Linked DNA regions of Oreochromis niloticus. The protein of the gene in region 1 purifies or fractionates together with the protein of each later gene. This does not show direct contact. Links are inferred from orthologs where the notes say so. Each region holds a gene or a part of one and is shown on either strand. Other genes may lie near its edges.

Region 1 (6,943 bases):
ATCACCCTATTAGAGCAATTCGCTCTCACACTACAGGCTTACTTGTTGTTCCTAACACTTGGATTCAGGAGACAGACACTATCTCTACTTTCAAGATTAGGCTTCAAACTTTCCTTTTTGCTAAAGCATATAGTTATAGTGCTCCCCATGACACAATGAGTGTTTCTTTTTCACTCCATTTTTAATTCAGTTCATTTTATTTATGAAGCACCAACTCACAACGTTCACCCAGACTCTGTACATCACCAACTAGATTTCAAGTCAAACAACTAGGGCTGCCACGATTCATCGACTAGTCACGATTACGTCGACTATCAAAATCGTCGACGACTAATTTAATAGTCGACGCGTCGTTTGAAGCTTTGTAAGATCCCGACAGACGCAGGAATAAGTAGTAGGATTTAAGAGTGTAATAACTGACTGAAACAGAAGATGGCAGCACTGCATGTACAAGGATGCCAGCTGCTGTTACACTCCGAAGAAGAAGCAGCTGTGTCCGGTATCATAGCTGTGTCCAAATTCAGGAGCCGCATCCTCCTGTGCCCGCATTTGTAGGCCAATTACGTTACAGCGACACTACAAAGACTGTCCAAATTCGAAGACTCCGACAATTGCGCCCTTCATTTCCCCAGATTTGAAGGATGGGTCGGGTGTATCCTTCGTGGCCCAATCTATCCCAGAATTCATCAGTTTCCAACAATGGCGGCAGCTAGTTAGTTTTAATATCACTCTTATTATTCTTTCTGGGTCACAAAATAAACGTTTAACATATTTTCAGGTGAGAATGTAGCTGTGTAAACTTCAAATATCTGCTTGGTTTATCAAGACACCACATATTTTCAAAAGAGCGCCAACGTTTTCAGAGACGTCTGTTACCCACCAGCTCGATAGCTAGCCGGGGTTCAAGGCTCACTAGAGCCGGTGAGAACACCGGACTCCTGGCAAATCATTTTCAAACCCACCGCGGTCTTTCGCTACTCAGGTTAAACATGATACATAAGTCACTTAGGTAATTTAAAAATGTTATTGTTTGGCTTTTTTCACAATTTTATTTGTTCCTGAGTAAATCGGTTTGGCTGAGATTAAAGTTATAGTTTTCACACAGCTGAATAAACGTCAAGCAGACAGCTGATTATCAGAAGTGTGAGATGCTCGAGAATATACTCCGGTGTCCTGTTATATTTTAGATAGCAAGGAGCAGAAGGCTGGGTTTATTAAACTCCACCTAAACAATCTGCAAATGTCATTAAAATTTAATAAACTATCATCTTGTCTTTATTTTTAGTTAGCACATACCTTCAACACTCAAAGCTGTAAGCTAATGATAGTTATATAAGAGCAGATGCTGCTGGTGCAATCAGCTGTACCTGTTACGTCCAATGGATGCATGATCTGATTAGTCGACTAATGCAAAAATAATCGATGACTAGTCGACTATCAAAATAATCGTTTGTGGCAGCCCTACAAACAACAAGATGTTCTGCACAAGAAAAATTAAAAAAAACAATTTGACAAATTTGTAGAAAAGGCAAAAAAACTGCACTGAGAGTAATCTGTAAAGCTGACCTGTACTCATGTGAGATGGCCTATAACATTTCAACAACAAAATGTTGCTTTTGTGTGAAGCATTGCAGCTCATTTACCTGAGGTAGTAGAGAAGTGGTCTGCCTCTTGAGTGCACAGCTGGTACGGAGTCTCCACAGTAGTAAGGAAATCCTGAAGGAACACTTGATCCATGAGATAAGAGGAAAAGTGGGGTGGGTCTCCCAAAGACATTAGTCTTCCTACGACATCCCATTTCTGAGACATCCTGATCTCTGCCAAACCGCTAAACAATACTGATGCTGATGCAATAAAGTCCTTTGGGGATTTCTTGTAAATCATCATTGATACTATTTGGTGTGGCTACTGACATAAATAAGTAGGGGGACATAAACAGCATGAACAAGAAAAAATAGAAGAAACTCTAACTGATGTGGGAAAAAAGATGAGAAAGGTGGGGTGGTTGGTGGGAAAAAAATCCTCAGCTTCTTCTTGGGCTTGTTGGCATTTTACACATTTTGTGACATTTGAATGCTGGAGGTTGGGAGGAAAAACGCTGCAGGACTTTCATGTCTTGATTACCAAATGCTGGAGAAAAAAAAATCTTCTGCCAATCAACTGGGGGCAAATTATCCGTATCCAGGGATTCCCAAAGAGGGCCAAGAGGATGGGTTTAAACCTACAAATACATCAGAAACACTGCCCGGGGAACTGAACACTGGTTATTGAAAGACAAACAGGACAAACACATTTCCACACAGCAACATGAAACAAGCCTGCTCGACACTTACATACTTTCACATTTCTAGTGTCTCATGCAGGAAAATCTACAAGTACTGTTTTGGGAGGCTTCTTCACTCTACACACGGAAGCCTTAGCTTGCCAGTGACAATTGGCCTTAACTATGATCGTCATCTTAATTAGGACACAAACAAAAATTAAACTGAAACACTCAGATAACAATAACGAATCTCAAACTCGAGGAAAATATAAATTTAAAGACCAAGACAGCCAAGAAAACATTCATATACTTACTGTTGAATTACAAAAAGTGTCTCAAAGCTAATGAACTACGTGACTCCCAGTCGGAAAGGAAAATGACTTTATAGCTAACCGGGCTAACTAGTCTCTAGTTTAAAAATGTGAACTCTTAAATTATTATGCTTAATCGATGAACACTTTTTTTAGCTCGTGTACATAACAGAGGCCTACCGAAACCTTGGGCGGTTAGCGACCTAATCGTGAGCTAAGCGTTCAGACGGCCGTTTATTACCGTGGTATTCACGTTCGTGTTATAACGCGTGAATGTAACTGCCATACATATGATGTAAACAGTGTATGTAGTGTTGAATTACCAGTTTAAAATTTAAAAAGATATTTGAAAACTTGTAGAATATGGCAAGAAAAACCCGAGCCTGCTCGAAGAAAACCAGAAGCGCACTGTGACTTAAGCAAAATGGCGACGGTGGAATAAAAATACGAAGGGGTGGCCTGCGTGCTGTGTTCAAGTCGCACGGAAAGGTCGAAGATTCGAAAACTTCTATCACGTCTACAGCAAGAGTGTTATACACTCTCTAGGGGCTATGTCAGCAAAGACATTCATTCTGCTATGCTAACCCTTAGTGAATAACAGTCTGGCGTAGAAATAAATAAATAAGCACCGTAAGTAATTATGAACTATTTAGATAGGCCAAATCTAGTTAGTTAGGGTGCAAACTGCTATCGCGGCTATGTTGTGATCCACACAATTTATTTTAAATACTGTCAAAATCACACTGCATTGTGCAGCATTACCTTCCGCTCCCTCCAACATTAGAAACGCTAACTAATAATCACATTGAAAGAAAAATTAGTCATCGCTTTCTGATTTCAAACGTGTGCTTTTTATTTTGAAAAGTAAAAACAGGAAGTACTATGTCGGTTTCACAGTAGGGTCCGTGCACAGTTGAGACTGCCCCCTGCTGTTAGCTCCTATGTCGTTGGCAGAAAGCAGACGGACCAACTTGAAGTTAGCTTTACATGCAAACTGACAAAAGTAGTACCGGGACACTAACTGCTAGTTTTTACACACTTCGATGGACACTGTTCAGGTTTGTGAGTTTTTTAAAGTGCCTAAGTTGACGTGAGCTAGCGTTAGCATGCAGCTGCTTTAACCAGGGCAGGGTCAGTTAGCTGCAAGGTGACTAACACGTATCGCCGTTTGTAGAGGTACTTTTCGTTCACACCTGGTTGCGTGTCTTTGGTGCACAGAAAGCAATGGCCGGATTTTCTCTGGACCTTGGACCGCTGAAGGAACCTTTGGGATTTATTCGTGTCCTCGAATGGGTAAGCACTGTCACATACATGTCTTTGTACGTTATTTATCCCAATCAGCGTGAAGTCTGGAATATTCACTGGGATGTCTCCTAGGAGTCCATTTATCCATGTACCAGTAATTAAACTGGTACATGTATTCAAGAAGACAGCTTGAATAACTAATGAAGAACTTTAAACTTCTGTGTCTGTTTTGTCGACGTTACATTTTATAACACTGACCTTACTCATTTTCCTCAGTGAAATGTTAACCTAGAACAGGGTATCAGCTTTTATCACATCATAAAACCTGATTATGTGTAGGACTGGGTCATACCACCAGCTGAACCAGTTACCAGGAAATTCCACTGTGGTACTCCCAGTGTGGCTGGTACCTGGTGTTGCTGAACCGTGGGGTGAGTTTGATGTGGAATGGCAGCTGCTTGGCTTGTGTTGGAACAAGCTGTAAATCTCACTTGTGTTTGAGTCCGTGAAACTGCCCTTTGATTTTGAATAGACTGAATATGAAGAAAAGAAAACACATTAGGATTGCCCCTGCCTGTGTGCCTGCACATATGGTGGTGCTCTGTGTATTAGAGCACCACCAAATCCACGCGTGGAAGGTGAAAGTGTGTCAGTCTGCTCCATTTTAGTGTACAGTAAGGTTTGTTTCAACACGACTGTGAACTATAGAGAGTGAAATATAAATGCAAAAAGTGTTGAGCCAGCCTGGTTTGTTGATCTTTTGCTTGCAGGAAGACAGACGTGTTTTAAAATGGTCTGGAGCAGTAGCTCTCTCATACCTGACCATTTTCAAATGGGTTTGTTTTGTTTCTTTGTTGGTTTGTTACAGCTATTTAACACTGACCTGTGAATAGGGCTGGCCCATATCAAACCGTTCACAGTAATACCGGTATAATGTTGGGCAACAATAAGAAAATAGAAAGCGAAAATTTCAGAAGAAATTTTAAGTGTGCCTATGCCGCTAGTAATCAGTGTAGTTTGCCATTCATACGGCTACAGACAGCAAAACTCAGAAGAGCAGCCATTCTCCACCATGAACTATGGTAAAAACAAACACCGCTCACGCTTCACAGATGACAGCTTACAGTTTTGTGTAAAGATGAAGTTACTTTGTACAGCGCCGATTTGCAGACGCTGTGCACACAGGTTCATGAGCAGAAGTCCCATTGTACCACGGCAGACCCGACAATGTTTGCACGAACACGCTTTGAAGCATTACGTTATGGACCACTTTTCACACATGGTTGGTTTACCCACACAGCCGGCCGTGCATTCACTTTTTGTTTTTTGTTATTTTACACAGTGTTCTGAATTATGAACAATGGTCTACAGCCAATCTTGTGTATTATTATACAAACTTTGGTTGTGAGATTCAGATAACTATTTAATAAAAGCTAAATATTTTATATGAGAGTAAGAAAGAAAAGTATATCTTTGTGTCCACCTTTCTCTGTTAATGCCCTAGCTGGTCTTTATTTGTCTCTCAGAAACAACTCATAACTTCCCTTCAACTCATTCATGTCACCTAAAGTGTAAACCTGTTTCTCCATCACCAGTTCAGCTCTGATGATTCAGTAAGGACATCTCCTGAGTTCATCTTCATGCTCCAGCAAACATCAGCTGATACTAGAAATTAAAATCAAAAGAATTGTAACAACAGCTGATCAAGCTTAAAGGTGCTGCTGTTGTTAGCCCGAGAAATAAGAGCGAACAGCCGATCATTGATCAGTTTCATGATTGACGTTTCAACACGCGAGAGAATGACAGGGGAGGCTTCGTAACGACAGAATAAATCATAATATTTTCTCTGACTCTATGAACTAACCCTTATGAATAAAATAAAGTCCAACGTCAGTAACTTAGCGCGCACACAGCTGTATATAAACTCCCGTGGCAGTACGATTGTAAAAGGTCAACGAAAATAAATTACACCTAAACTCGGTTTATATCTGACCCAAATAGAGTGCAGTTCATAACTTCTTACCTGAAATTCAGTTCACCTCACGCTCCTGCCTTCGGTTTCCAGCATCATCGGCCCATATAAACGAAAAATAAGTCCAGCTGAACACAGACCCTTGGCGAGCAATCGGGTGTTGACACGACTTTCTGCCGCTTCACTATAAGCCAAACTTGGGTGCTTTTTCACGAAGGGTCGCTAACGGCGCTAGCTTGCGGCGCTAGCTAGCTAGCCGGCTATCAACAACACGTAAGAGAATATGGGATGTCTTGATAAAACGAGCAGATATTTGAAGTTTACACACCTACATTCTCGCCTGAAAATATCTTAAAAGTTTATTTTGTGACCTAGAAACACGAAAAAAAGCATTATAGAATCCAAGTGGTGTCCGCCATTGTTTCACTGGCAGAGGCTAGCGGCGCTAGCTAGCTGGCTATCAACAACACGTAAGAGAATATGGGATGTCTTGATAAAACGAGCAGATATTTGAAGTTTACACACCTACATTCTCGCCTGAAAATATCGTAAAAGTTTATTTTGTGACCTAGAAACACCAAAAAAAACCATTATAGAATCCAAGTGGTGTCCGCCATTGTTTCACTGGCAGAGGCGTGCTATGAATTGTGGGATATGGAGTTTTCCGACAAGAATAAAAGTTTTAGCCCGTACTACTCCCGGTATACCACTAGAGAGAGCCAACACACCACAAATGAAGTCTGTTTCTATGGTGCCAAAAGCAGAATCTTTCTCAGGAGCCTAGAAATTGGCCTAAATTTGTACTAAAATCTAAATATTTCAAAAACTATAAAAGTCATAAACACCAAAAGTCATACCATACTAGCCCAGCTCCAGCCGCACAAAATGATGTAACATATGTAACCCTATTGTCAAAACTGTTTGGCAGAGGAGCGTGGGAAAATTTTCACTAAAATATTAATATTTAAAAAACTATAATAGTCATAAACACCAAAAGTCATAGCACACCATTCCAGATCCAGCCGCACAAAATGAGGTAACATATATGAAGCTTGTCTAATAATAAGAAGAATAATAAATCCGAGGAATAGTAATATGTGTGCCTCTTGGCATAGGCACACATAATAAAATATCGCGATAGAATATGGGTAA
Region 2 (7,361 bases), on another chromosome or scaffold:
TCAGTTTACGCTTCTTTGTCTCGTTAGTCCTGATTTGCCCCAGCTGTGTTTCCCTCCTGTTGCCCATTCCCTGATTACTCCCTCTGCGTATTTAAGTCCTGTGTTTTCCTGTGCTCTCTGTCGCGTTCTACCGTTTACTTAGCTGTGTGTTCTGTTAGTCCTCTGGTTTAAGTTTATTTTGATTTTTTCCAGTCATGTTATGTTACCCCTTTTTGAGTTTAGTATTAAAGCTGTTTTGAGTTCACCTTTGGTCTCCGGAGTCTGCACCTTGGGTCCTATTCCTGTCTGCACACAGCCTGCACTTAACAGAAGAACGCGACCATACTATGGACCCAGCAGACTCTGTTTGGTATCGGCGACCCGCAGTTTCTGCCTTCCTCAAGGAGAGCGTGAGGCAGGAGGCTAAGCATGCCCAGGAGCTCCAGTCACCCTTCTATGGGTCTCGTTTGGCTTTCGGAGGGCCCCGCAGCCTCCAAACTGCCATGGCCATGGCCGAGCCGGCGCCTATGCCTCGGGCGATCAGATTGAGCACGTGCTCATTCTCTCCAGTCGCTACACCTCCGCCTCCACCCCTGGATTACCAGTCCGACAAGAAGGTTAAGCGGCGGAGGAAGAGGGATTACGTGACGCCGGACGTTAGACTCACTCCGCTGCAATCCTTCGCTCTGTTTTTGGGTCTGCCACGTTCTGAGCTTCACAAACTCTCTGCTTCCTCGTCGCAGCCCGGTCTTTTGGAGGGTTCGCAGCCCAGTTTGCCACCTCCCACTTCCCGGAGAAAGCGACGTTCACGCAGTCGCCACTCTGTCTCTGCTGAGCCACTCCCCGTGGTGAGTTATAATGACTGTTTTCATTCTGCTCCCTCTAAGCTGGAAAAAGACAATCATATGAACACTGCTAAAACTGAGACTGTTAAGACTATTACACATGGTGGTGGTAGGAAGCTAAAAAACATTTTAGAGGATTCTGTGTTTTCTGACCCTGCTCCTTCGCCCAGTTGTGTTCCTGCTCCCAGGGCGGCTCGGGCCCAGCATTCCCCTGCACCTGTTTCAGTGCTTCAGGTGAGGGAGGCTGAGGTCCAGCTGGTCCCTGCTCCGGTGCCTGTCGCGGCACCCGTACCTTCTCCTCGGGTGGGAGAGGCCGGTATCCGGCAGGTACCTGCACCTGTTTCTGACCTCGCTGGAGGCTCAGGTGAGCCCGTCCAGCGATTTTCTTCAGGTTCTGGAGGCTCAGGGGAACTAGCTCAGCTTACTGCTAATCCACCACCTAACCCACCATTACTACCATCGTTACAACAGTCAATAGAACTTAAACTTCTATCCATAGCTCGAACATTAGCTCACCTATCGGCTCAGTCACCTGCTCAGTTTTCACCTCAGTCGTTTACTCAGCCGTTTATTCCTGCTGGAGGGTCCGAGGGACCGCTCCAGCCTTTGTTCGTCTCCGCTGGAGGGTCTGAGGGGTCCGTCCAGCCTTCTGTTCCCACTGGGGGTTCTGGAGAACCGCGCCAGCCTTTGTTCGTCTCCGCTGGAGGGTCCGAGCGGCCCGTCCAGCCTTCTGCCTCCGCTGGAGGGTCCGAGCGGCCCGTCCAGCCTTCTGCCTCCGCTGGAGGGTCCGAGCGGCCCGTCCAGCCTTCTGCCTCCGCTGGAGGGTCCGAAGGGCCCGTCCAGCCTTCATCGCCACCACCTGCGGCTCCCACGCCGTCACTTGGTCCAGCTACGGCTACGGCTTCGTCCTCGCCTGGTCCAGCTACGGCTTCAGCTCCGCCGTTGTCTGGTCCAGCTTCAGCATCGCCTGCAGCGTCACCCTCGCCCGGTCCGGCCTCCGAGTCTTCGCCTTCGCCGTCACCCTTGCCCGGTCCGGCCTCCGAGTCTTCGCCTTCGCCGTCACCCTTGCCCGGTCCGGCCTCCGAGTCTTCGCCTTCGCCCGGTCCGGCCTCCGAGTCTTCGCCTTCGCCCGGTCCGGCCTCCGAGTCTTCGCCTTCGCCCGGTCCGGCCTCCGAGTCTTCGCCTTCGCCCGGTCCGGCCTCCGAGTCTTCGCCTTCGCCCGGTCCGGCCTCCGAGTCTTCGCCTTCGCCCGGTCTGGCCTCGGCTACAGCTTCGCTTGGTCCTGCCTCGGCCACGCCGACGTCCGGACCACATCCTGCGCCTCTACAGCGCCGGCCTCCTTCCAGGCCTCTGATTACGCGTCCTGGTCCTGCTCGTCCTGCTCGTCCTGCACGTCCTGTCCGGCCTGCTCGTCCTTTCTGGCTGCTTTCCAAGCCGATGATTGGGCATCCTCGCCATCGTGGACGGCCTCCTGACCTGCTCCGTCGCCGCCGGTGCCTCCCGCCCGGCCGGCCTCCTGACCTGCTCCGTCGCCGCCGGTGCCTCCCGCCCGGCCGGCCCCCTGAACTTTTTTCTGGACTCTTGGGTCGTCGTCCTCCGGGCCGGCCCCCTGAACTTTGTGACCTGTTTTTCCTGGCCGCCTGTGTGTTTTGTTATGTTGCTTTCTGGGCTCCGTTGTTTGCGGGGTTTTTTTTGTTTTTTGTTTTTTTTGTTTCTGGCTCCTTGTTTGGTTTGTTTCGAGCCCTCCGTCCTGTTTCCCCCACCGCCCGCCCTGGTTGGGTTGTTTTTCGTTTTTGGTGATTCTGGTTTGGGCTGTCTGGAAGCCAGCCCTTAAGGGGGGGGTACTGTTAGGAGGCCTGGGTCGTTGACCCAGGGTTTTTGAGTTTGTTATATTATTTATAATTTCTAGTCTTTGGTTTCTTTGAGTTCTGTCTTATGGTTTTTGTCTGTCGTCTCTAGTTGCTGTCTCCCCTGTCAGCTGTATCCCCTTGTCTAGTTCGCTTCTCTGTGTATCCTTAGTTGCTATATCCCCGTGTCCAGTCAGTCTGTGTCTATAAGCTCAGTCTGTGTTGTGTTTCCTGTTTTACTTTGAAGGTCTCTGTCTTTTCTCAGTGTGTTCAGTTTACGCTTCTTTGTCTCGTTAGTCCTGATTTGCCCCAGCTGTTTCCCTCCTGTTGCCCATTCCCTGATTACTCCCTCTGCGTATTTAAGCCCTGTGTTTTCCTGTGCTCTCTGTCGCGTTCTACCGTTTACTTAGCTGTGTGTTCTGTTAGTCCTCTGGTTTAAGTTTATTTTGATTTTTTCCAGTCATGTTATGTTACCCCTTTTTGAGTTTAGTATTAAAGCTGTTTTGAGTTCACCTTTGGTCTCCGGAGTCTGCACCTTGGGTCCTATTCCTGTCTGCACACAGCCTGCACTTAACAAAGTCCTCATGTTTTTAAATCAACTATTTGCTCCATACGTGTGACATTATGTTTTGTATTAAAAAACATGCTGCTAAACAAACTGAGGTAAACTAACTGTTATTTAAAGGTGACATGAAAATCCTCTGTATGTTAGTGCAGGATCTGTACTGTGATGGATTTAAAATAAAGAACAGTGTGTGACTGTTGTACAGTGGCTGCGGTTTCATGGTCAGTTAGGTTACATCAAGTTTAGCAGAGATGAATCTGAAGCTAAGCTCATGATCCTGAGATTCATTCACTGAATTCCATCTTTATACCAGCTTTATACTGTCTAATATAAAGACAGTATAAACAGTTTGCTGTCAGTGTAGAGGACTGAAGTCAGCCAGGAGAACTTTTGAGACATCTGCTGACATCTTGTTGAATTCAGTTGTTTAAATCCACAAAGAGCAGGATGTCAGCTGATCACAGCCTGTACACTAAGAAAATCTAGTGGAGCTCTCAATAGTGGGTTAGGGTTAGCCCACAATGAGTCAGCTGACTTTTAGGGTTCCTCCGCCTGCTGAATCCGCTTTAACCCCTTGCCTACACATTTTCCTGTTTAGAGGCAAAGTCATCCTCTTCAATGTAGGCAACAGAAAATAGAGCTGTTTTTGTTTTCGTATTTTTTCTCTGCCGATGTTTTAACCACTTCAAGCTGAGTTACCTTCATTGGGATTAAAATTTAGACTGAAATCACCTGCTTTGGATGTTAGTGTTCCTATCTACTAATATTATTTCATTATTAGATTTATATTGCCCGAGGATCAGTTAGCTTTGCATTAAAATGGGTGGTTTGAAGATTTAAGGCAGATTTGAGGGCAAAAGGGGGTCTAACCTGCTAATGAGTTGTATTTAGTTGGTTTTCAATTAAGTTTAATTCAGTTGCATGTATATACCGCTAAATCACAGCAACAGCTGCCTCAAGGCGATTTATACCGTAAGGTATAAGACCCTGCAATAATACAACCATCACACCGTGGGCTCTGTACGTGCACACGCCTGCAGGGTGTCAGCCGCAGCGGTGGGCGGCGCTGTGACAAACCGAGTGAGAGAGGAGGAGCTGAGAAGGAGAGCAGCTCCGGTTTGATTTGCGGAAGTAAACACATCAACAAAGAAAGATGGCCGAAGTGATAGAGCTGCAGAAGCTTAAGGTTGGTATTTCCCTAAAATATGCACTTTATAACCCGCATTTAGTCGTTTTTTAAAGATAAAGATAGCTTTTAACCGGAGTTAGATGCAGGACCGGAGGTCGGGGTTACGTTAATTAACCGTTTTGAAGAACAAAATGACGTCCGGCTGAGAAGGCGAACACCCGGCATGTGTTCAAAGAGCTAACGGCGGGCTAACGTTAGAATGCATCGGCTAAGGAGAGGGAAAAAACATTAAATATGAAATTACTGTAAAATAACAAATATTGTCATATACAGAGTCACCTACTGTCTCTGAACGTTAACAGCAAGCTAATTTGGCTAAGGCTAGCCCAACATTGGCTCGTAAAAGTGCAGCTCAGTTTACTCGGTCTCTGACTCTACACTCACAACTGTCCTAAAATGCTGCCGCCAGGCTTTTTGCCCAAAGCAAACTTATATCAAACGCTTCACAGGGAGTTTAGGGTTATATTTTTTTTTTTTTAATTTATTATTTGTTTTTTTAACTGTCCGCACTTGTTTGGCGTCTCTCGATAAGTGAAAGGATAACTCGCGCCGGGAATTTGACTCCATCTCAGGCCACACAACATAAAGATGAGCAGTATGTGTAAACTCTGTGTGTTTGTGGCATTTAGTTTAGTTATCCCCAAAATGTTGGGAGATTCCTGAGTCACAGAAGCCGAAACATTAAACACGACTTACAACAAAGAAATGAAGTAAATTATTAAGATAAATAAAATAGCTCACATCACACGAGGGGAGCGACAGGAAGAGGGGAAATGAAACTAAAGAAGCCAGTTAGTAAAAATATAATATTTGAACGAAGGTAAAGCTTTTCTGTCCGAGTGTGGTCTGGATCTATTTGTTATCTGTGTCCACACTGATAGGTTTGTAGTTTAAACCTATTCGCTGGAACGTTCAAGGCAATTTACTACACAGCAAAAACAAGACACAAGTAGGCAAAGTTCTTTGTAGTACTCATGCATGAGGGAGGCCTGCCTGGAGCCAAGTGTCGTTCCACCCACTTGACCTCCGTCAGACTCTCAGCCAGGTTCCCCATAGCACTCCTTTTATTGTGGTTACATGAATATGCATAGGTTCATTAACATATAACATCTTACATAGGTATACATGTGAACAAAGAATACCTTGTGTGTGTGTGGGGGGGGGTCAAGATGTGACCCCTTGAAGACTCCCCAAAGCTGGTGCCAGGAGTCTAGCGGTACATCTGAACAAAAGGCCCTTACACTCAAACAGATATACGTATGTTTGCTATACTATATATCAGCAAGAGAAGATACGACCTCTCCTAGGAGGTGTGTGATCCATGCCAGAACACTCTGAAGAGGAGTGAATGCACTCCCCTCTTCATGCTACACAGAGTTGTTACAGACCTCCTAGGATGAGACATTCTTTCATATGCCATCAACTATATACTTATAAACACAAATGATTACATGTTTCTCAATACAAATGACAATAATAAAATATAAACCCAACACACACGTTTAGATGATCTGTGCGTCAGCTGATGGAGGAATCCAAGTAGTGTTTTTGATTCAGACTGTATTCAAACTCCAAGGGCAGTGATGGAAAACGATTATCTGAAAACTAATGCAGAGTAGCTTTCAGGAAAGAAAAACACCAGCGTGCATTTCATTACATTAAAGGTGCTGAAAAGGTGCTATAGGGGGAAAAAAATTAGGTGGATAACTTGTTACTGAAATTAATTTAAAAAGCAAACAACACAGATTTCTTTACTTAAATGGGTTTCTAATGTGATTTAATCCAATGAATTTCATATGTGATTGTTGTGTTTTCATATTTGTGTGTGGGCTGGAGACATCTGATTTTGACTACCCTAACTAATAGTTAGGGGTGTTTTCATTCTGTTGTTTTTCTGGGACTTTTTCAAGAATAACAAGAAAGTTGTCACAGCACTTATTAACCTGCTGTTTCTGCAGGCAGTCATATACCTGTGATGCAGCCTAGCCAAGACTTGTTTTCCTCAACAGAACTGGTCTTCAGTTCCATCCCCCTAATGAAAGCAAGATCGGTCCACATAAAAAGGGTTATTCTACATTACTGACATGGAGAATGAGAATTACTCATTCCTCTTTATACTTCTTTGAAGTCTGACTGAAGGGCACGTTAGTAGTAGCTGCACTGTAGGCTAGTTCCTCACAAAAAAATGACAGGTACTCAAACGTCTGCACTAAGACTGATGCTCACCAACTGATGATGAAGTTTATCTTTTGCTGACCCTCACATATTCTTTGACCTGCAAATTTGTCACATCCACATAACAGAAGTAATAGTGGTATGTGTACCTAAATAGTAAATGGTCTGTGTTAGATGGATTAATGACCAAAAATGTCAGGTTTAAGTAAATGAACTCTGGTTTTTTATTTGTAGCTTGCTGAACTGAGGCAGGAATGCGATGCCCGAGGTTTGGAGACCAAGGGAAACAAAGGGGAGCTCATCGCCCGACTCCAGGCTTATCTGGAGGAACACGGTGAGGAACAATACTTTTCTTATTGTCACTCATTTAGCTCGCGCACACACACACACAAACATTTCATTTACCTCCCTAAATAAAGGGCTTAAAATCCAGCCCCGTGAAACGTGAGAGAAGAGTCGTTTATGTCTGAAACTATATAGAGAGCTAAAACAGAGCTTTTCCATATTTGCTAGATCAACTTTGATTTTGTTTCCAACCCAACATTATGCATGATTTTGAATAAAAGAAATGCTGAAAAGCGTTGTAATGGTTAAACACAGAATTATCATACCTGATTTTGCTGATGGTTCATTATGCTTATTGCTTAATGCTAAACAGAGTATACCGTGAGCGACACTCACCACTAAAGAATGTCTGACTTTTCAAATGTATGATTTAGTTTAAAAAAAAGAAGTTGTATTGCGTAAAAGAAAGCATTTCT
Region 3 (7,026 bases), on another chromosome or scaffold:
AAATCATTTTTACAGCAACAAAAAAATATTTCTTAGGAAAAACATGAATTTCATAGCCAGTAAAACCGGAGATAAGTTTTTATTTCAGTTGCAAACGGCTGCTTTCTGTATTAGAGTCACAGTCACACTGTGTAGATACCTAGAGCTTTTATTGTGAAAGGCGAGGACAGGAAGAAGCCATTTGTGTCAAACAAATCAGGATTCCATTACTGGACATCACTTCTTCCATTTCAGAGGGCGATGCGAGGGAGGAGCGTCTCCATGGAGACCATGTCGAGGGGCGGGGCTGGACTGCCCACCAGTTTGAGTGGGGGGGGTCTGGCACACCTGAACGTGGAGGTGAGTTGTTCTGCAGGTAACTGAAGGAGCAGGTTGAACCCCGCTCGTCTGTGAGCGGCTGTAACACCTGGACTCTTTGCGTTGGCAGTGTAACGTCAAGTCTCCCGTGAAGCGGCGCTCGGGACTTTTTCCTCGCCTGCTGAGCGTCGACAGCCAAACAGAGAAGCACAGCCAGCGGAGGTAACGCTGCCCAACGCTCTCCTGTCTCTCAGTTTGTTTACCTGGACAATAAAGTTCAAACCCACCAGTGTGCATGTCAGCACTGCTGCACAGGTGGGGGCACACCTTCAGGAGAGCCAGTCTCAGCAGGTGTGCTGCGTGTTACTGAGCTAACAGCTCTTACCTGCTTTCAGGACATTAACCCCGCCTCCTCCTGTCTCTGTTACGCCTCCTCAGCCTCCCCGGTGAGCAGAGGAGCTTCGACGGATGCCACCCGATGCTGGAGGTGAGGCCGGAGCTGCCGTCCAATCCTAGCACTCCGGAGGCGGGGCAGCGGGACAGGTGTGTGCAGCAGAAGCAGCAACAGTAAGAAATGAAAGAAGCAGATGTTTCAGTTTTCACTGCGAAACAATAAACTTCATCACTTTTTTACTTTTATCGGCAGGATTCACACGAAGAAGGAGAGCAGTAAGATTTCCAGGTCGACATCCAGCACCTGCAGCTTCAGCATCCCAGCTGACGACACACACCTGGTGAGACAGGTGAAAACACACTTAAACCATCTGTTGGGTCAGCGTTATATTCAGCTCAGTGTTATTTAGGGCGCCTTGTATTGTAATGCAGACCCTCATCAATGCGTCCTCCCTCTGTGTCTCTACGTGTATAGGCTGCGACGGTAGAAGGTCAGAGTTCAGCTCCGGTCATCGTGTGCCGCAGCCCCACAGGTGCGACGCCCGCTCACCGCCAGCGTTTCTGTTCTGGAGCCGTTCTCACGTCTCGTTTGCTCTCTCCTCTCTCAGAGCTGAAAAACAAGAACTCGCCCAGATCCAACCTGAAATTTCGCTTCGACAAGCTCAGCCACTCCGCCGCAGTAAGTCTGTGTGACAGCCAATCAGCAGGCTCGCTGTTTACCTGAATATGCGGAGCAGCTGATTGGGCTGCACGCCTCCAGGACGTCACTGCTTTTTGTTATTTTGTTCAGTGTGATTTTTCAAGTATTTTCTGTGTAATCTGATTACTGAGTGTGAAACCTTCCTTCTGTCTGCAGCAGGGACACTGAGCTGACAGGACGCCGCTGACAGGTGTGTGCTTTCCCAGAAGTCCGATTTTAAATTCCATTTTTCAAAGTGCTGCTTCTGTCACTCTGTTCTGCTTCTGAGTCTACTTCCTGCTTTATTTTGAAAGTTAGTTCCTCCTGTAGCGTCTCGTGTTTTACTTCCTGTCTTGGTTGGCGTTCTCGCCCTGGCGCTTGTCTTGGGTGGCTCGTGTTCACACTTTCTGGGCCATGATGTGAGCGACTCTCTGAGCTGGGTTTGATGTGTTCCTCTTTCTCTCGCTGCTTTCCAGAATAAAAGCCTGAAGCTTCAAACAGACGGCAGTCTCCACACAGGAGGAGGAGGAGGAGGAGGAGGAGGAGCAGGAGCAGGAGGAGGAGAGTCTCCTGATGGACCACCACACACACATACTTGTCTTTCTGTCTTTGTGAGGACCCCAAGTGCAGCTCTCCTGTTTCTGTCTGTTTTTTTCTTCTCATCTTCTGCACAAACCATAAAATCATTTCTGAACAGGACACTGAACACGTAGTTCTTTTTAAACCGTCCTACAGTCAAGTTCGACCCACAGAGCTCTCCCTGTTTTGCGCTTCTTTCAGTGTAAGATGTAAAGAGGAGGCTCGCTCGTTCCCTAGAAACTTTATTTATCACAGAAACACCAGGGGGCGCTGCAGAGAGGGGCTGAGATTCCACCCAAAGGACCAGGACCCGAGCAGCTAAGCTTCCCTGAGGGGCAGCGGTTAATGCCCCTCTCCCCAAACACCGCTGAGGTGCTCCCATCCAGCTGGGAGATGTCCTCTCTGCGGGGGTCCAATCATTTCAACCAAAACAAGAAAAACAAAAACAGCACAGCAGCTCAAAGTTTGGGGATTCACTCATATCAGAGGCAACCACAAGAACTGCAACTACCCGCCCCCTGTCTCCCTGTTAGATGACTGGTCCTGAGTGCTGTTTAGTCTTTTTGTCAGCCGGCACGGTGCTGGTCCCCCCGAAGGTTCCTGGTCCTGGAGGAGAGTTCCTGCGGTGGATGCGAGGCCTTTACAGGCCTAAAGTTTGTCGTTGGGTCGTGACTCTGATGGTTTCTCAACACAGACACAGGAAGGCGAGCGCATGCACTCAGGTTAAAAAGGACGGAAATACAGGAAACACGTTAACTGCTGGAGCTGCTCGGTCTGCGCGTCCATGCTGAGCTCTGTGGGATTTATTCTTATTAATAACAAATAATAACACGTGGCTGTGGGTTCAGATTCAGACACGTTAGAGACAGACGCTGCCGTTCTCCTCACACATTACAACGTCGTGAGCTCAACCTGAACCTTTTTTAAACTGCAACCAAATCAGTTTCACTCCTGCTGCAGGAGTCGCAGTGTGATGATCTGCAGCACACAGGGTCTGAGCGACGGGGGTCAGGTGGGCGGTGCTGCAGGTGAGTCAGAGAGGTGGAGCTGCTGGAGGTCAGGGAGAAGAACAAGAAGCGCTGTGATTGGTCTGATGATGGGGTCTGAAGCTTCGCTCTCCCTCTCTGAGAGACGTTCGCACTAATCACGCCAAGTCTCCAGGTCACTCACTCCACTGGAAGCTGCACAGCTGCAGGAGTTCAGCTTTTCAAAATAAAAGATGATGCAGCATGAACACAAAGATGTCTGCGCAGTTTTCTGATGTCATAAAGTGTGTGTGTGTGTGTGTGTTGTAAAACCTGTAAAACTGAACATTTCACAAATAAAAATCAGCTTCTTTCAGTGTTTGTTGTTGTTTTTGTCGTTTCATTTTCTCCCAACTTTTTTTTAAATTTTTTTTTTTTACTGAAGACCCGCTTCATCTGCAGACGTCATTTTTCATACTAACCAGCAGCTACAAACTGCCTCAGAACCAGATGCTGGTTAAAGTTCAAAACATTAAAAAAGTTGATTGTTCTTTTGTAAAAGAACCAAAACTAACAAGGAATTATTGACTAGCTGTTCTTCTTATTTCGTGTTCGTGTTTATTTGTGCATTAGTATGTCTCAGTATCGGTTATGAAACAATTAAAGCAAATAAATATGAAACTTTATAAATAAGAGAAAGAAAAGTTATTGTTTAAATAACGGGATGAATAAACGTTTTTATACTGCGTTTTCATTACTTTCCATTTCCGTTACAGCCTTGTGTTTATGTATTTATTTATTTATTGTAATTCTGACAATGTTATCTTGATTACCTGTTTATTAATTACTTTGTACTTTTTTGTTTAGATTTTTCAGACATTGTGCAGTACACTTCAGCCCTGTTATACTTAGGGCTGTTTACATTTACACATTTATTAAAAACATTGGTTTACATGTTTTAATATATCGTCTGTGACGCTGTTAAAGTGTCTGTTATTCAGCACCGCCCTCTGCTGAGCATGACATCATGTTTTACCTTTAATAACCGCAGGGGGCGGAAGAGCTCCGGCGCGCCGCCTGCAGGCCGCAGAAGAAGTCGTAGGTACCGTTTCCGGGTCAGCCAAGAGCCGCAGCGCTAGAGGCCGTTGTTCGCTGCTGGGTTAGCACCATGGCGGCAGTACGCAGCTTGCGGGTCTCGGTGAAATCAGACAGCGGCTCCGACCGCTCGGACTCGGACTCCGAGTCGGACAGAGATGCCCGCGAAGCCGAGCCGATGGAGGTGGAGGAGGGAGAGCTGGACCCCGAGGACATCTCCGTTAACCGCTCTCTGAAGGAGCTGCTGCCGGTAAGCCCGGACTAGGCCCCGGCACTCCGGGGACTGGCGTCTCCGTCGCCCGGCAGATCCGCGGGAAGTGTCGGCTAGCGGTTACTTGGACTCCCGGCTCTCTCCCGGGAGTCAGCCGCCCCCCTCCCTCCGCGCTGTAGGGGCTGCCGATGAGCGGCGGGGGCCTCGCGTTAACCGGGCTGGTTTACGTTTTCGACATGTTTGCGGGGTTCGTGTTTATTTCAGTCACTTGTTGCTGTGTTCACGTGCTGTTTGTGTGGAGCGCACGTCCCACCAAACTCTATTTAAAAAACATCGAATTTAAGATGTTTACGTGTAATAAAAAAAAAGAAAAAGCAGAGACCGCAGAGTGCTCATTTTCCGCAACTATTTCAGCAGGTATGCGCATACCGAACAGTTCTGCTTTCTTCTAAGCGTGAACCTGGATTTCATTATTCTTCCTTTGTTATTTACTCTTCCTGCTAGTGTAGAGCGTCCCTGCCACCAAACCTCATCTAAAACTAGGAAGTTTGACGTTTTTACGTGCAGAGAAATGCAAAACGGGTGAAGTTATTCGATTTGAATGCATGCACACTTAGTAGTTTTTATACCTTCGCGGGTGTTTCCTCTCCCTGCTAGCACACCAACAGTATCCAGAGCAGTTTATCAGCTGGAGAAATGAAGGTTTTCTTCTTGTGTGAAAGTCACATTAGAGTTGAGTCTTTACTGTGGAGGCCTGTGTGGCTGCTGCTGTGGACTTCATACAGCCTGTGTTTCCCATGTGTTTACAGTCACTTTGTAATGTTGCTGAAGCAAACAAACAGAAACGGCTCAAAGAGAAAGTGAAACCGTGGCTCACTGCTGTCTGTCTGTTTCACAGGACACCAGTCGGCGGTATGAGAACAAGGCTGGAGCCTTCATCACTGGAATCGACGTCAACTCTAAGGTAAACCATCAGAGAGTGTGTGTGTGTGTGTGTGGGCGTTAGGCTGCCACTTTAAAGTGTTTCTCACTGTGGGCGATGTTAGTGAAGTACATGCAAGAGTCTCTGAGCGCCTGTAGGGTCAGGACTCATGTGAGTGACCTTTCCAAAGGTCACCATGACCTGATGATATCAGGTAAAGAGTGATAGCTGAGTGGGAAGCTCAGGGTTCAAACTCCTCTGAATACTCGACTTATTTCCTTTTTCTTCCTCATCAGGAGGCGATCGAGAGGAAAGAGAAGCGAGCGCAGCGTTTCCATTTCCACGGGGAGGAGAAGATCGGCCAGCGGAACGTTTTCCTGGATAAAGACGCCATGAAGAAAGGTACGTGTCCTCCATGACTGTCAGCAGGCAGAGCCAACCTTTTCCTGATGAGGAGCTCGTTTAACATGTCGTCGTCTTCTTCTTCTGTGGTGCCCAGCCATCCCCCAGCTGCGCATGGAGGCAATCCATGTGATGGGCGTGGACGACATGAGCACGCAGGACGTCTTCGGGTACTTTAAAGAGTATCCTCCGGCTCACATCGAGTGGATCGACGACACTTCCTGTGAGTACGGCATGCAGACAGAAGAGCCCGGCTGCGGAGCTCATGAAGCTACTGCACGGGGCGGGGCATGTGACTCTCCCAGCCAATCACAGCTCAGGTCAAACCCTGTTCTCACCACCTGATGGTTTCCTAGGTAACGTGGTTTGGCTGGATGACGACACCCCCATTCGGGCGCTTATCAACACCAGCCGGATGCCTGACTCGGAGGCTGTTACCACGGAGACGGGAGGCACCAGCCAGCCGGGCGAGCAGAGCAAAGGTGAGTTCGAGTACTGTAGGGGAAACCACCAGAAGCCTCAGGGCATTGTGGGTAAATGTTACGATGTCGCAGGTCGGCGAGGTCAAGGGTCAGATGACGAGGACGATGAAGAGGAGGAGGGCGAGGTAGACGAAGGTGAAGAGGAAACGGCGAAGAAGCGCAGCGAGGAGATTGAGGGGAGAGACAGCGACGCAGAGACAAAGACGAAATCTGAGAGCGGACAGGTAGGACGCCACCTGACCAATCATCAGGTTTACTGACCAGTGCCCAAAAGTGATCGATGATGTCATCGGCTGTGTGCGCGCAGGCCGACCTGTCGCGGGCGGAGAGAGCATCCCTGCTGAGGAACGACCTACGGCCCGCCATCAAACCCTTCAAAGGAAACAAGCTGCTGCTGCGCTTCGCCACGCAAGGTGACACACACACACACTCACACACGCACAAGCCCATTCAGCTATCTTAGTGAGGACCTTCATTGACATAATGGTTTCCCTGCCCTCTTACCCTAACCCAGGGGTCAGCAACCTTTTACACCCAAAGAGCCACTTGGACCCGGTTTCCACGCAAAAGAAAACACTGGGAGCCGCAAATACTTTTTGACATCTAAAATGAAGATAACACTGTATATATTGTTTGTTTTATCTTTGTGCTTTGTGTAAACAACTAAAGTAAGTAAGTAAAGTTTATTTATTAAGCACTTTTCACAGACAGGCAGTCACAAAGCGCTGTACACAAATATTAAAATAAACACTACAATCAATAGACATTATACACAATGTAAAAGATCTAATGTAAATAATGTAAAGAATATAAAATACGTAGATCAACAAAAGGCTTGTTTGAACAGAAAGGTTTTTAACTGCTTTTTAAAAGAATCCACAGAGAAACTAAGGTGTGCTGCTTATGAAATCCATGAAGTGCTACAGAGAAAATTACATTTTATTTATGTAATTAACACATTTTGAACTCTTAAAAAAATATAACAAAAGGAAAGACACCCA

Evidence for each region.
Region 2: the proteins of zc3h11a (region 1) and sarnp purify together in Homo sapiens (affinity purification with mass spectrometry; 3 studies listed by BioGRID and IntAct, counting the BioPlex papers as one, with this or other methods). This does not show direct contact. The link is inferred for Oreochromis niloticus from reciprocal best matches to the Homo sapiens genes ZC3H11A and SARNP.
Region 3: the proteins of zc3h11a (region 1) and ncbp3 purify together in Homo sapiens (co-immunoprecipitation; 3 studies listed by BioGRID and IntAct, with this or other methods). This does not show direct contact. The link is inferred for Oreochromis niloticus from reciprocal best matches to the Homo sapiens genes ZC3H11A and NCBP3.

Annotation. Positions count from the first base shown.
Region 1 is NC_031970.2:39,571,432-39,578,374, reverse strand, and holds the start of zc3h11a (zinc finger CCCH domain-containing protein 11A), read right to left. Parts: upstream 3,015-6,943; 5' UTR 2,898-3,014; exon of another isoform or gene 2,578-2,897; intron 1,717-2,577; 5' UTR 1,644-1,716; intron 1-1,643. Other genes in the region: sypl2a (synaptophysin-like protein 2a), read left to right, coding at 3,618-3,632, 3,793-3,867. UniProt on the Homo sapiens protein: Through its association with TREX complex components, may participate in the export and post-transcriptional coordination of selected mRNA transcripts, including those required to maintain the metabolic processes in embryonic cells.
Region 2 is NC_031984.2:6,848,566-6,855,926, reverse strand, and holds the start of sarnp (SAP domain-containing ribonucleoprotein), read left to right. Parts: upstream 1-4,268; 5' UTR 4,269-4,389; coding exon 4,390-4,422; intron 4,423-6,834; coding exon 6,835-6,934; intron 6,935-7,361. UniProt on the Homo sapiens protein: Binds both single-stranded and double-stranded DNA with higher affinity for the single-stranded form. Specifically binds to scaffold/matrix attachment region DNA. Also binds single-stranded RNA. Enhances RNA unwinding activity of DDX39A.
Region 3 is NC_031975.2:32,673,552-32,680,577, forward strand, and holds the start of ncbp3 (nuclear cap-binding protein subunit 3), read left to right. Parts: upstream 1-3,991; 5' UTR 3,992-4,081; coding exon 4,082-4,258; intron 4,259-5,117; coding exon 5,118-5,183; intron 5,184-5,437; coding exon 5,438-5,543; intron 5,544-5,640; coding exon 5,641-5,766; intron 5,767-5,899; coding exon 5,900-6,025; intron 6,026-6,097; coding exon 6,098-6,249; intron 6,250-6,332; coding exon 6,333-6,438; intron 6,439-7,026. Other genes in the region: rap1 GTPase-activating protein 2, read left to right, coding at 235-339, 428-519, 736-864, 944-1,040, 1,166-1,223, 1,299-1,369, 1,547-1,558. UniProt on the Homo sapiens protein: Associates with NCBP1/CBP80 to form an alternative cap-binding complex (CBC) which plays a key role in mRNA export. NCBP3 serves as adapter protein linking the capped RNAs (m7GpppG-capped RNA) to NCBP1/CBP80.